Neodiprion lecontei: one gene and its partners. Each later gene encodes a partner of the first gene's protein in a complex. Links are inferred from orthologs where the notes say so. Each region holds a gene or a part of one and is shown in the gene's direction. Other genes may lie near its edges. The genes, in order: eukaryotic translation initiation factor 3 subunit J, eukaryotic translation initiation factor 3 subunit H and eukaryotic translation initiation factor 3 subunit M.

Region 1 (6,085 bases):
CTACTTATCGAAATCTAAAGTAATGCGATAATCTTTATCTTACCTTTGTTGAGCATCTGTAATTGGATTTGCCAGTGGAGTCAGCAGAAATGGCAAGCACGGATAGCCGGCATCTCCAACCAGGGTTCCAGTAAGTTGTCTCTCATGATACCGCATGTAAATTCGTGAATTTTGGAATATTTGACTGTCATGGTTACTTCCAGGCCATTCCGGAACCACATCCAAGAATTCCATATTGGGTCCGATAACTGCCTGTGGTATCATTTAAATTAAAAGTACCGATTTTCATAGAATAGTATTGTTTATTTGTATCCTAGATAAAATTAATTGCAACTTATGGTATTTGTAAACGGTTATCACCAACGCGACATACCTGTACATTGAGGGAAAAATATCCCTTACGATTCCTATAAACCTCCTGCAGGTCTGCAAATTTCGTATGACATAATCGAATGTGAGTGCAGTCGATAGCGCCATCAACGCCAGGTAAACCGATACCCTCCCTGCGTGCACCAAGTTGTCTGAATAGATCTCTGTTTGCGATCATAGCAGCTTCCGTACTAGGAAATTTGATAATTGCGTGAATCAATGATGCAATTTGAGCCGATACTCTGTGTATTATCCTCGATACTGTAGACTGCGATATAGTCATCAGATCTCCGTTGACGAGCTGTACAGTACAAAATGTATTAGCAATCATTTATTCCATGATCACAGGAAGCAATGAAATCACTTTATATTTTCAGTAGAATGTCAGGAATTATAATCACAATGATCCTTACTTGAAAGCTAGCGGTAGCGTAAAATCGTAGACATATTAATAATTGCATGACAGGTGGAATTGGTAGACCACGATTATTGGCACTGACTAAGGCAGCTTCAATTCTAGGTAGTATTCCGTACATAATACCATCCTTTGAAAATCGGAATCGCCGTTTGAACTCCTGCTCGGAATAAAACTCGAACGGGTTTTGACCATCTCTGATGTATCTCTTCGGAGCTCGCTGTACTTCACCCTCGTCTTCGTCATTCGGCCCAACGTTGACCATTGAACAATCATATTATTCATTTCTTCGATCTGATCGTAGAAATTAAACATATCTTGCATATTCGCCATGTCAGTAGAATTTCACTATTCACTTCACTTCACAAATTTTTCAAAGCGAATGCTCTCATAACCTCTACTTCAATTGCAAGTTTCCGTTGCTACCCTTTTACAGTAAATAATCCCGTCCCAGCTGCACTTTCCCAAACATTCCTTCACAATCTATTCCTGTTAATTTATATTGTTCGAATATAATATTTTCCAAACAATTCGTAATTATCAATTTCGTACGCATCAGAACAATTGAGTAATATTTAGGCAACAAGCATTTGCTTAAGTGCAGTCCGAACTCGACTTGATCAAGATACGTAAATAAGACTGCGTTAATTGACTATGAAACGTTGCGTGCTCAAGACCATGCTTATTTCAAATAAGACTGGACTATGCAACCTTGTAAGCACGCTTCGAATAAGACCGACTTGATGAAGACCGTCTTATTTGCCGCGTCTCAAGACCGTCTTGTTTGACGTCTATGGAACCAAACGCCATCTTAAGGCCTCGTATAAGACCGTCTTATTCGAGTCCGGTCTTAAGCACTGACTATGAATACCGGCCTAAGTATATTTTTCAAAATTTTTCTCAGCCACGCTATTCTCGAAGGTCATAGAAGAATTGGCGAGAGAGAGAGAGAGAGAGAGAGAGAGAGAGAGAGAGAAGAGATAGAATAGTTAGGGTTTTGAGACAGTAGAGGCGCTTCTTTCACTGTATCCGGTCAACTTCCACTCCGTACTATACTCTTTCTCTTTGTTCAAGTTTTTAGAGGACGAATGGACAGCCAGAGCTGCAACGGTAAACAGTTGAATCATTCGCCCCATGAGATTAAGGACAAGGCCCGCCGTGCACCGCCGTGGCTCGTTGATTTTTGTTGCGTGCACGGTTTTTCCGACTATTTGAGTGATATTTCATAAAAATCAAGATCATGGATGACGAGTGGGGTATGTATTTTAAATGATTAAATATTCTGTGCCGATACATTTGATCAAAGGAAATGAATTTCTCGTGATTCGGCTTAATTTTTGACAACTCGTTTCGTATCGTATCATATTGCAGACGCGGATAATGTTGAGGCCAAATTCGACCTCGCAATGAGGTCCAATAAATGGGAAGGCGAAGATGAAGAGGAAGACGTTAAGGTATCGAAGTACAATGTGATATTCAGTTAACAAACATTCGAATACTCTCATTAATTTCATTCTGCCTCCATATGTTTCACCACCAAGTTTTCATAACCTTGTCCTAATTACCGCATGGAATTTTTGAGTGTCTTTTCTCTATGAAAATTGACGACCTATCTTGCCCGTGTCAAATAAATCAATATGTATTCACTTTTATTCTTTAAACATCATTTTCTCAAAAGATGTGTATATTATTCCAAAGTCTTTGACATGATATTTTTTTCTTTCCCATTTCCATTACCACTTCATGTCAATAATCTCATTGACGCATACTTAATTGCTTAATATTTATTGACGTTATTAGGATAGTTGGGAAGATGTGGAAGAGGAAAAAAAAGATGTAGAAAAGGCTGCTGAGGTGCCAAAGGCTAAAGCAAAACCTAAAAAAACATTGGCCGATAAAATCGAGGAGCGTGAGGTCAGCGTCTCCATTACTAAAAAATGATTGTACTTATTTTATTTTCATTCATAGTCGCTTAATAAAAGATTCACTACAGTAACTTTGCTAATCGGTTTAATTGACTGAAATCTTACAGGATTGTTGAGAAATATTTCTGATATAGTAGATGAATCCTGTATTTAAATTCTCTATTGGGAGTATCAATCAAACGATACAAAGTATTTTAAACAAATCATTTTCTTCACATCTAGAAAAAGACGCGAGAAGAAGCAGAAAGAAAGGCGAAGGAAAAGGAAGAGGCCTTAACACCTGAGGAAAGGAGAGCGGAAATGTTGAGACGTCAGAGGCTTCAGGAAGAAGCGGATCTTCGACTAGCCATGGAAACATTTGGTTTGTCAAACCTTGTTGACTTTAGCCCCCGTAAACCACAAAAAAGTGAAAAAAAATAACAATTCTCCCCTGCTATCAAATATTCTCACAATCATAATAATTATTATTAATCCACTTGTACTATCTATCACTTTTAATTTTTACCTGTATTCGAATCTGCTGTATCTCAGATTATTGTCAGATTTGTGGAATTTTATTTTTATTGATATTAAATTTATCTGTTGCACATAATTTTAGTTTTCTGGTGTTGCTACAGATATTTTTTTTTTTACCGAAACATTCTTACAACAACCCCGACACGTATGAATTCTGGTGAACGTATAACAGTGAAATATACCATAATTAATTTAATACTAGAATTAACCTTGAGGCGATATTTCGTAAATAACATAAAACTTAATTCAATCCTGAGATAATTGATGAAGCTGATTCAAATTCTCAATTATTCAAATTTGACTGATGCTTAATTCTTTCGATATACTTTGACTCATGTGTGGTTACCGCGAGATTAGGCAAGCTTAAGACATTGTGATAGATTTTCGAGGGGTATAGAATTCTGAGCCAATGAACTTGACGAAATTGTATCAAATTAGTCTATAAACTTAATCATAAATCAGATTCTTTGTTTCGAAGTAGTTTTTTCTTGAAATTTCAAGTTAAAATGATGAAGTCTAATTTAATTAGTGATTCTGAATACGTTTTGCATTATTTTTCATTGCTTGAACATACGTAGAAAAGCGCAGTATTAAGGATGAAAATAACCACGTAAACATTTCCACCTAAGATTAATGAAATATTAAGTGAAAGTAACGTTAATTTTTTTTTTTATCTAACAACATTAAGTTTCGAAATGCTACATTAATGAACCTATAATTGTCAGGAACTGTACCAGAGATGAACGAAATCCATACGATTTATTACCAATTTTAATACAATGAAATTTAATAATGTTATGTATTTTAATAAAATTGATATTTTGCACAAACAAACTGTTGTGTCCACGTCAGTCTTTATACATCCTTGCATACTGTTTTTAATCTCCTGTATTGTTCCTGATGAGCTGTTCGATAATGTATTCCTTATTTGTATCTCATTTTAAAGGTGTGTGGTGAAGATTGTATGGCTTCTAGCTACACAAATTTTTGTTTATCTTAAAATCTTTAAAAACGAAAATGCGCAAGTATTAAACAATAACAAGAAACTCCTATTTTAAATTAATAACAACCGTTTTAGGTTCCATCAAGTATTTATACACTTGTGAAACTTAAAATTATTTTCTAATTACTTATTAACTGGATTGGGTAGAAGTATAAGATGGAAAGAAAATGCTATCACGAAAATTGAAGATACAGGTCAAAAATTTGTATGTGCTGTTGTCAAGTTACCAGTGTTATCTAATTTATTATGAAACTCACGTTTTTATGTTAAGGTGTGAACCCTGAAGCTGCTACAGGACTTGACTCTATGACACCTGACACAAAAGAAGATTTCGACCAGTTCAGTGAAGCACTTTTAAAGAAAATAAACCAATTCAACAAGCATGCTGAGTTTACCACGTTCGCCGAAGAGTTCATTAAAAACATTGCCGTGAATTGTTAGTATCTTACTCTTTATGGAATATTATCTTTCTCAATCATATGCACTCTTTTTTAATTGAAATTAAAATTGTTGCAGTGTCTTCGACAAGTTTGAAAAAAGTGAAAACGACAATTGAAAATTTAGCTATCGAAAAACAAAAGATTGAAAAAGGGGATAAGGGTAAGAAGAACAAGGGTAAAGGCAAAGCAAAACTACGAGTCGAGGGTGATAATTCACATCTAAATGAGTATGGCGATTATGGTTTTGATGACGAATTTAATGATTTTATGTAGCGCCGAGATGTAAGTGAAAGTCAGTTACTGTTACAAAACAACAATCTGCATACATGGAAACAGACAAAAAATAGATTTATTATACAAAATGTAAGAAAGTGACAGCCAAAAAAACTAAAAACATGCAGCTCCAACATGAATGTACTAATACATGACGATTGTAAGGCATGTAGATCCATGCCCGTTATTATACATGTTGAATATTATTATTAAATCACATCGAAACCAGAGTTTGTTGTCATTATTTTTTTTTGGTTCAGTGGCTATTTCTATTAAGCCAGTTTAGTGCAGATTTTACAATATCAAATTTAAATATCTATATAGTTAGATAACTTTGAATATTAAGAATTGCTCTAAATTAAAGAAATGACAATTTAGAGCCATGAGTTGATTGTTACCACGCTACTTTAATTCAATTTCAAATACTATTAAAACTATTACTTACGTCTGTTCTCCTACCCGCAGTTCTTCATGCAATGCAATAATCAATGTTAATAAATTTTGTATAACTAATAACAACTACTTACATTGTGCGTATTGGTTGATAAATCAAAGTTGATTTTAAAAAGAATATATTAAGTAATAAAGGATCACTGAAATGCGAATGTTGAAACGTCATTTGCTGTTTATTACCAGAAAAATTCACTTCGATTAAACTTGATAAACCCTACAACATTTATCATCCAGTTCTCTTACGTTCAATCTCAGACAATCAATTTTTCAGCACTGTGAATTTGATGTGGTGTCAGAAATAAACATGTTCCACAAGTCGAATGTGCGACTGTAAACAAAAAAAGAAGTCGTCATTATTTTGAGGAACCAAAATGGATTGGACGTTTCCTGAGGGTTAAGAAGCCTTGAATTTTTTGTCCTATCTGAGAAAATGGAAGTACTCATGGTTTAGTGCGTCAGCAACATTAACTGTTTAGTTAATTCATTTGATTTTTGCATCTTCTTTGATGACAGTGATTTAATGACTGCATAAATCTCAGCCTTTGCTCTAGGACCTCAGCAGTTACTGTTTACAACGAACTGTTCCTACGAAAATCTTATACAGTCATGGTATCTCCAATGCACAAATGTCTATGGTCATTGGCCTTTAAAATAGAAATATATCGGCCATTATCCTTTGAATTGGGGCGAA
Region 2 (3,617 bases), on another chromosome or scaffold:
CACATGCTGTGTGGGTAATTCGGTATATAGTGGCATCGGTCCGATTACATCTGAACCACTACTATCCGATGATTCTGTGTCAGCATTGCTAATCACTTGCTTAGGCATGGTAATCTGTGATAACTCTGTAGAAGTCTCAGAATGCGGAATATGACTTTGTTGATTATCCGTGCCATCGAGTTGATCGGCCGTTTTCTTTGTGCCACATTCTTCGATAATAGCAGGACTTTCGGAGGTTTCCTCATTTTTACCAGATAAGCTATCATCGAGCGATGCTGAGCTTTCATCCTTGTCCTGATCGGTATTCTTGGATTCTAAATACCCGGAACTTCTAAAATTATTGTATAAGGGGGCAAATTCTTCATCTCTATCTTTTCTCCGCTTGTAGACCCATTCTTCTTGCGACATCTCATACCACTGTGTTCTTTTACCAAGCAGTTCGCCAAAAGCTTTTATCTTGTTCTCAATTTCGATAAGTGAATTTTCTTTCCTATATTCAATTATTTTCCTCTCATCAGATTCGACTTTCTCTTCAGTTTCTGCTTTAACTTCCATCTTGTCTGTATTCACCTCATCATTTTTCACGAGTTCCTCGTCCGTGGGCTCAGGGGGCAGTCCAGCCCTTATTCTCTGTCGTATTCTAGCCGCCTTTAGCCTGTTCTGTTCCATTTTGTCTTTCATTTCCTTTAGATTTTGCATTTCCTTTTGTTTTTGTATGGTTTCCTTTCTCAATGCATCCAAGTTTGCTTGCTGCTTCGCTCGCATTTCTTCATCCTGGGAAAATTCGTAGTATCCAACGCCGTGGGCTCTCGCTTCGTCAAAGAGAATGTCTTGATAATGAATATTCATTTTCTCAGTCAACTTTTCCGTTTGCTCCTCCCATTTTCTTCGCATTATTTCAATCTCTGGCTCTTTCGGAGGTGTGACAACATCTGGAGGCCTGACATCCTCAACTTCGGTATCTCCTTGGGACTTTTTCATGACTTCGTGCTTTACAAAGTCATCTTTTTTCTGCATTGTCGACAAATCTCTACGGAGGCATTTCCTTGTCCGTCCAAAGCAGTCTTCGTATTCAACCCAGTCTTCTTCCGGGTCAGAGTTTGCATCTTCATAATCATCCGAATCGAATTTCTCATCTTCTGACTGTGGTTTGTTACCAAAGTCGACCAGAAAATGTTCGTTTTTATTGCTGTGTGACCTTTTCAAATTTTCGTAAAGCCTAGCTTTTGCTTCGAGCATCAACTTCGACTTTTTGTGAGCTTTTATATCGTCGGTGTCAATTAGTTCTTTTTCAATTTTTACTTTTTTCGTCTTGGACTTTTTAGTCCTAACCTTGTGCTTAGACTGTATAGAAGTTACTTCCGCATTTGCTTTCGCGTCTTTAACTTCGGTTTGTTTCCTCAGAAGCTCAGCTTTCAAACCCACTAATGATGAATAATTCACGTTTATTTTCTTTGAATTATTCATGTTCAATTTTAAATCATTTGACGTTTATTACCATTTCACTGTTTACTGACGTTTATATACGTATATTGGCAGGAAGGGCAGGAAGATTCTGATTTGTCTAACCAAACCTAACCTAACTTAATTTAGCTTGCATACTTTTGATGCACTATATTATCGACTGCGTTCGAGATGGTAAATACGGTTTGAATACAGACACGTATGTATGTACGCGCTATCGAAAATTAGTTGTAAAAACCTCCGTCGGCTCAGAGGACGCTAGTACACAGCTCGAAAATTTTCTGACGTTTCCTTTTGATCCGGGTCCGGTGGTTTTGGCTGTGCCCTGTTTCCGTCGTTCCTTCCTTCCTAACCTAGCTGAGTACCGTCCTCCATCTGCCTATCTATCAAGCACGGTTTTTGTTAAATTGAGTGGTTGAAATTTGCAACGCTTCGTGCACAAGAGAGGTGATTTTTTAATTGAACAAAATGACAACGCGAGGGCAATCGAGGAGGATACCGGAGACGGAGTCCCGGATAGATTACGTTCAGACCGACGGTTTGGCAGTGATGAAAATGGTGAAACACTGTCATGAAGAATCCACGAGCAACATGGAAGTCGCTCAGGGTGCTCTGCTTGGTTTGGTTGTCAACAATCGGCTGGAGATCACCAACTGCTTTCCGTTTCCCAAGAACGATGAAACCATGGATGAAGAGGAATATCAACTTGCCATGATGCGCAGGCTGCGTAGAGTGAACGTCGACCACTTTCACGTTGGTTGGTACCAGAGCGCTGACGTTGGAAACTTTCTGAGCCATCCTCTGTTGGAATCGCAGTTTCACTATCAGACATCCATCGAAGAGTCAGTGGTGGTTATTTACGACACGGCCAAGTCTGCTAGGGGCTTTTTGACACTAAAGGCTTATCGCTTGACTCCACAAGCGATCCAAATGTACAAGGAAGGAGAATTTACGCCCGATGCGCTGCGCACGTTAAAAATTGGCTACGAATCTCTATTCGTCGAAGTGCCGATTGTCATAAAGAACAGCAATCTTACAAACATCATGATGTCTGAACTAGAGGAAATGATTCCCGAAGAAGAAGGAACCAAGTATCTTGACCTCGGTACCGCCACGGTCCTGGAAAACCAGCTGAGGTGCTTGATGGACAGAGTAGATGAGCTGAACCAAGAAGCTATTAAGTTCAACCGTCATCAGCATTTGGTTATTCGTCAGCAACAAGACAAGAATCGTTTGATGCAAAAGCGGGCACAGGAGAACGCAGCCAGGGCTGCTAAGGACGAGGCGCCTCTACCCGATGACGATATCAACAAGCTGCTCAGGCCGTTGCCTGTTCCCCCCAGGCTGAACCCCATGATCGTTGCTGGACAGATAAACACCTATAGTCAGCACATATCGCAGTTCTGTTCTCAAAGTTTGGCAAAGTTGTACATCACCCAGAGTCTACAGAATGCCAAGGAATCCAAGTCTACCAATTAATCTGTAGCTTATTGTGCAGAGACTCGTTGTATTCCAATTGAAAACAATAAAACTGTTTTCCTTTCAAACCATTGATTGGACTAATTACTAAACTAAATATTATTTCTTCTTTTTTCTTTATATTACAGTGTATTCAAATTATTCCAAACGGTTTTTCAATACTTATTCTTAAAATTTGTGCAATCTATGGTATCAATTTACAATATTGCCAGTGTTGATTTATTATTTGTATATTTGATAAGTAAATATGAAACGATAAATATTTTGACTGCAAGATCCTGGTCTTTGTTGCAATCGTTTGCCACGTCTGGGCTAGTTTGGGCCAGTATAAAATAGAATCCTCATAGCAGAATGGTGCAATTTTCTTCCCCGGAAGTCTTCCATCAACCGTTATTGGAATTAAATATATATATATATATATATGTATATATACATGCTCTTAATTTTCGCATGCAAAATCGGTACATAGTATATAGGCGCATAATGCAGCGTTACAATTCTGCTTGGCATCGGTAATTCCGCAGAACAGCTTCTAATTCCTTTGTTGGTAATGTCAGGTTACCGTATGCTTCACTTTCAAAGTTGCAGCCGTGCTTTCAACGAATGGCTCAATCTCGTAACGGGATTCTGCTTTGTCGACGGTGCGGCCGGTTGTTTGGTGGCGCCATCTGCCC
Region 3 (5,065 bases), on another chromosome or scaffold:
ATATAATCTATAATTTCAGGAATGTATTCACTAACTCTGGTCAGCACATTCGGTCGCAACACCTGGAAAATGTGCGATTTTTTAAGAGCGCTAGAATTATAATTAGAACTGCTTCTTTCCATTAATGTTAATATGTATCAAGGCTTACATTAAGGGCATCCATATCTTTGTGATACTCTGTCTCCCAGTACTGCGGAAGCTTGCTAAAGATGGAATTTTCAGTAACTGTAGATCCCTTTTCTCTATCAAGCCATTCAGCAAGAGGATCCCTGGCTTGGTTCAGTAAGGCCTGCAAAATCAATTCCGATATTCCATCTGGTTAGATCCCTGAGTAGTCAGCTCCATTTGATTGATGTAAAATTTACTCAATTTTTAATTAAAATGAATAAAAGTGTGAGGAATAATATCTTCCCTTACATTCTGGGACTCTTTCAACTTGACTTGGTCATTTTCTTTAACAGCCTTTTCAAGATCTTCCACTGCCATGGTAATTTTCTTCAGCATTGTTTCCATCATACGGGTCTTGTCGGGATCAGAGGTAGACCTGACTGTACCTTCAAATGCCGTCATCACCTTCTTCGCGTCATCCAGTACTTTGTCGAGATTGTGGTTTTCTTTGATGTACTCTTCGTACAAGTGGTTTTGTCTTGCTCTTTTTATAATTTTGTCATCAATATCGGTGATATTCATCACGTATAAGACATCATAGCCAAAGTAGTCGGAGAGTACACGTCGCAATATATCAAAAGATATATAAGACCTGAACATATGAAATTCAACATATTTGTTGGGAAAGCTTAAACCTGTTAATAGTTATTGATATTTGATAACACAATCTCTGACACTAACATTCTGTAAGCATATCAAATGTGAGCGAACAAAACAAAGATAAAATGTTTTTATTAACATTGCCCAATAATAATGCTGTCGATTGGAAGCTTCTTGTCTCAAAATATGTATGATCAACTTCTTTAACGACAGCAGAAATTTTTTTTCAATTAATGAAAATGAACAAAATGTAATAAACCAAGACCTCATTTTATTATCCTGCTAATACATGGTACTAATGAAATATTGGAAGAAAATTCAAGGGGAAGATGCATTCTAAATAAACAATAAGTATACCTAGCGTGGCCCATATGTGAAGCGTCGTACACCGTTGGACCGCAACTGTACCAGTAAACTCTATTCCCATTTTGAGGTATGAATTCCTCTTTTTGTCGAGTTAGACTATTGAAAAGTTTCAGAGTCAGACGAGATTTGGTATCTGGTGGACTCCATGACGGTTGCGAACGCTTGTTGTTAGACATATCGAAAGCCTGTTTGGAACGTATTATTTATAGAAAATAACGATCATTTGCGGTCAAATATTTTCAATTAAGAGAACAATTCAAGTGTTGAAATAAAACAAACCTGGTTTAGCAATGAAAGGTATTATATGTAAAAACAAATCTCAACTCACCGAAAAGACGAAACAAGAGATGAAGAATCGAATTTAAATAGTTCGTTAATTAGGAGTATAAATAAAGACCGCCCTGGTCTCAGCTCTGACTCACGCCTTAAAACGTCATTTACGACACAGGTAAAAATTCTCAAGTAACCGTGGCTCGTGCAGCGTGTACCAGCATTTCCTTCCTCTCCCTCTTAATGACCAACCGAGTGAAATTAGACCCGAGTTTTATTTCCGTTCGTCAGGATGACCACCCCGACACTGAGCACGTGAAACTGACAGCTGTCAAATGCGACCCGCAACATCCACATACTTATTTATGATGCAGTGATATTAGCGCAAAAGTGATCTAGAGTCAGTATTGTTTGCTCATCTTTTGAATTTATTCCCAAATTTTCGATCAAACGTGTACGGCGTCTACGATCAGTCATTGATCACTGAACCCCAATCGTTGGATTACGTGTCACCCGAATGTTTTTCTCACGTTTCTTAGCCTGGTCGGGCTGCCAGTGAGCAATCACCAAAGCATAGTGAGCGAGACCTTTTCGACGTGTTCGCTGCACGGAAACGTGGTTCGCAACATCTCAAAATGCAGGTTCCAGCGGTTTTTATGGATTTGCCCTTAGAGGACCAAGTAAGAAGATTTCATAATCATTTCCCGAGCTCTATTCCTTCGAATTAAGCTTAAATTTTGGCAACGTTACATATTAAAAAACTTATTCTGAAATTCTGTAATTCACTGACGGGCGTTTAGGCTTAGGTTAGGTTTACGTTCGTATGGACTTTCATTATTCAATCATTAACCAATCTTTCACTGTAACAGGCACAAGAATTAAGGGTATATTTCAAGAGTTTGGGCGCTGAAATAAGTGAGGAGAAATCACCGAGAGGAATCGAAGATGATTTGCATAAAATCATTGGCGTCTGCGACGCCTGTTTCAAGGAGGGAAATGAAACTGAGATTGAGACAATTCTAAACGATATAGTCTCCATCATGGTTCTGGTGAGTTGTCTGTGCGAATATCAAATCGCACCTTGACATTTGGATAACTTGTTCCAACGAATTTTCTTGCATTATTCCTTTACAGATTCCTATTGAACGTGCTGAAAATTTAATATTGGCATTCTGTGAAAAGTTGACAAAAGCTCCAGGTCAAAAACTAGGAGTTGTCTGTCTAAAGGCGTAAGCATTTTTAAAATTTGTTCCTTGGATATAAAATTAATCCTGTACATAACAAACCATGAAATCTAAAATCTAAACCTATCAAAAAAGTTCGCATTGTAATTATACCAGCCTTTGAATAAATTAATTAATTAAGTAGATAAATAATAAAGAATTTCGTGACTGAAACATTTAACGACTGACTGAAATTACATGCTTCGTTATAGGCTCTGGCTCCTGTTTCAATCCTTGGATGAAAAATCGCCCATGAGATATCATGTTTACTACCACCTGGTACAAATTTCACGCAATGTGGATCAAGTCAAAGCTGTGTATGGCGGAGTGGATCAACTGAAGGCACAATTTGCTCCGTGTCCACCATCCAATGAACAAATGCAGAAATTATATCGCCTCTTGCACGAAGTGTTACTCAGTTGTAAACAAAGGTAAAGAAACTGAAAAGCTAAAAATAATTAAAAGTCTTTCAATTATTCTAAAAACGTAATTCGTTAATTTTATACCACTGTTTCCGTACAGTAATTCATTTTTTGAACGATACCTTTCAGTGAACAAGCAGCTGCAGTGATGGTTGCCCTACTAGGTACATATACCGCTGAAAGTGCATCTGCTCCCAGAGAAGATGCCCAGCGTTGTATTTTGGCTGCGCTTGCCGACCCGAATACTTTCCTGCTGGATCCGCTGCTGGCTCTGAAACCTGTGAGATTTTTAGAAGGAGAGCTCATTCACGATTTACTTCTAGTTTTCGTCCAAGAAAAATTACCCGCATATCTTCAGTTTTACAAAAATCATAAAGAATTCGTCGAGCATATACTAGGTGTGTTATATGTACAAATTGAAATAGATTTACCAAGTTTCCAATATTTTCAGAAATCTTTAGAAAAATAACAAGCGATTCGCATTTTTTAAAAATTCACGTTATGCAGGATTGAACCACGAGCAGAACATTAAAAAGATGCGATTACTGACATTTATGCAGCTTGCTGAAACAAATCCTGAAATGTCATTCGACACTATTCAATCTGAACTGCAAATCGAGGAGAATGAAGTAGAAAGCTTTATAATCGATGGTAAGAGTTTCATGAATATTTAGATTGTTCAAATCCTTATCCCAAATCATATTACACACGCCTGATTTCTTATGCATGGGTATTTACGAAATGGGAAATATCAAATGAACCAGTACTGGCTCAGCAAAATCTAAATTGCTGTTGAGTTATCGAGTTGTTCAACAGAAACTATATTGGCGCACTAAGATAATCATCGTACAAATTACTGCGAACTACTCGTCTTATATCTTTGCTATGTGAGATCATTACTCAAGTTTTGACTTTTATAGTTTTGAAAACCAAACTGGTTCGAGCTCGAATGGATCAAGCTGGCCACAAAGTGCTCGTATCAAGCACAATGCATCGAACATTCGGCCGTGCTCAATGGACCCAACTAAGGGACCTATTGGCGGCATGGAAAACCAATCTTTCTGCAGTTCAGGAAGGCATGAAAACTGTTGCGGCAGCTCAAATCGAACTTGCGGCAAAAACAAAATGATCCGAATAGTAGCAAATACATTTCATTTCGATCCAGCTCACGATGACATATGGAAGTATATTTTACGTTCAATCACACATGAAACACTTTTACAACTTAAGTATTGCTGTGATTACTGTATTCCATTTTGACCGATAGTGGGCAATTATGTAAACCTTTTAAATTTGATTTATTCCTCATATTATTATAAAGAACTCAGTTACTCCAAACCATGTTACACAGATGTAATGAATGCAGTAGCTCCATTTTTTAACATTAAAAAACAAAATTATTGGAATACAAACCCAATTTCTATCAAAATACGTTCCATTAGCGTTCCATAACCAGTTACTCTGCTGTCATTAACTGATGCAACTGTTTTCCAGTGCGAAATATGGCGTAAATATACATACAACCAATTACCTTTGAATAAAAATCATCAACGTAACACTAAAACTGGGGTAATGTAATGTTCGTATATCCTTCTTAATATGATAAACCTTTTATACGGCACTTGATATAAGATTTCTCATTGCACATACATTAATTATTAGCCGCCTCCTATTAGTAGAGCAAGTAATATTCATCAAGACATTTATGATATCATCTGTAGTACCACTCGTCGGCATAATGGTAAAAACTTTACTGTCGACATAAGTTTCTCACAAATTCCTTAGTAGCTGTCTTTCAGGATTCATTTTAGAACACAATATTACATTTTCATTCACAAATATGGATTTGTAATTTTAAAAAGATATATTGAAAAACTAGTACCGAGTACTTGTAATGCAAAGAATTTGATGGAGTGTCCCCAAACAAAATGTATTTAGTAATATTGGGAACATCACAGAAAAACAATAACTTAGAGTCGAGTAGAAAATGAGAAATGATAACGTTTATGATTAAGT

What was found.
Region 2: eukaryotic translation initiation factor 3 subunit J (region 1) and eukaryotic translation initiation factor 3 subunit H share a complex: the UniProt entries of both Drosophila melanogaster proteins name them as parts of the eukaryotic translation initiation factor 3 (eIF-3) complex. The link is inferred for Neodiprion lecontei from reciprocal best matches to the Drosophila melanogaster genes eIF3j and eIF3h.
Region 3: eukaryotic translation initiation factor 3 subunit J (region 1) and eukaryotic translation initiation factor 3 subunit M share a complex: the UniProt entries of both Drosophila melanogaster proteins name them as parts of the eukaryotic translation initiation factor 3 (eIF-3) complex. The link is inferred for Neodiprion lecontei from reciprocal best matches to the Drosophila melanogaster genes eIF3j and eIF3m.

Annotation. Positions count from the first base shown.
Region 1 is NC_060260.1:36,068,679-36,074,763, reverse strand, and holds eukaryotic translation initiation factor 3 subunit J, read left to right. Parts: upstream 1-1,885; 5' UTR 1,886-2,024; coding exon 2,025-2,040; intron 2,041-2,155; coding exon 2,156-2,238; intron 2,239-2,584; coding exon 2,585-2,698; intron 2,699-2,931; coding exon 2,932-3,070; intron 3,071-4,499; coding exon 4,500-4,664; intron 4,665-4,744; coding exon 4,745-4,941; 3' UTR 4,942-5,546; downstream 5,547-6,085. Other genes in the region: putative nuclease HARBI1, read right to left, coding at 44-252, 374-670, 783-1,049. UniProt on the Drosophila melanogaster protein: Component of the eukaryotic translation initiation factor 3 (eIF-3) complex, which is involved in protein synthesis of a specialized repertoire of mRNAs and, together with other initiation factors, stimulates binding of mRNA and methionyl-tRNAi to the 40S ribosome.
Region 2 is NC_060262.1:35,038,388-35,042,004, forward strand, and holds eukaryotic translation initiation factor 3 subunit H, read left to right. Parts: upstream 1-1,742; 5' UTR 1,743-1,932; coding exon 1,933-2,943; 3' UTR 2,944-3,014; downstream 3,015-3,617. Other genes in the region: coiled-coil domain-containing protein 174, read right to left, coding at 1-1,467. UniProt on the Drosophila melanogaster protein: Component of the eukaryotic translation initiation factor 3 (eIF-3) complex, which is involved in protein synthesis of a specialized repertoire of mRNAs and, together with other initiation factors, stimulates binding of mRNA and methionyl-tRNAi to the 40S ribosome.
Region 3 is NC_060265.1:2,938,223-2,943,287, reverse strand, and holds eukaryotic translation initiation factor 3 subunit M, read left to right. Parts: upstream 1-1,929; 5' UTR 1,930-2,039; coding exon 2,040-2,084; intron 2,085-2,273; coding exon 2,274-2,453; intron 2,454-2,538; coding exon 2,539-2,633; intron 2,634-2,839; coding exon 2,840-3,058; intron 3,059-3,178; coding exon 3,179-3,447; intron 3,448-3,556; coding exon 3,557-3,700; intron 3,701-3,969; coding exon 3,970-4,178; 3' UTR 4,179-4,466; downstream 4,467-5,065. Other genes in the region: cysteine--tRNA ligase, cytoplasmic, read right to left, coding at 1-62, 149-289, 418-760, 1,126-1,310. UniProt on the Drosophila melanogaster protein: Component of the eukaryotic translation initiation factor 3 (eIF-3) complex, which is involved in protein synthesis of a specialized repertoire of mRNAs and, together with other initiation factors, stimulates binding of mRNA and methionyl-tRNAi to the 40S ribosome.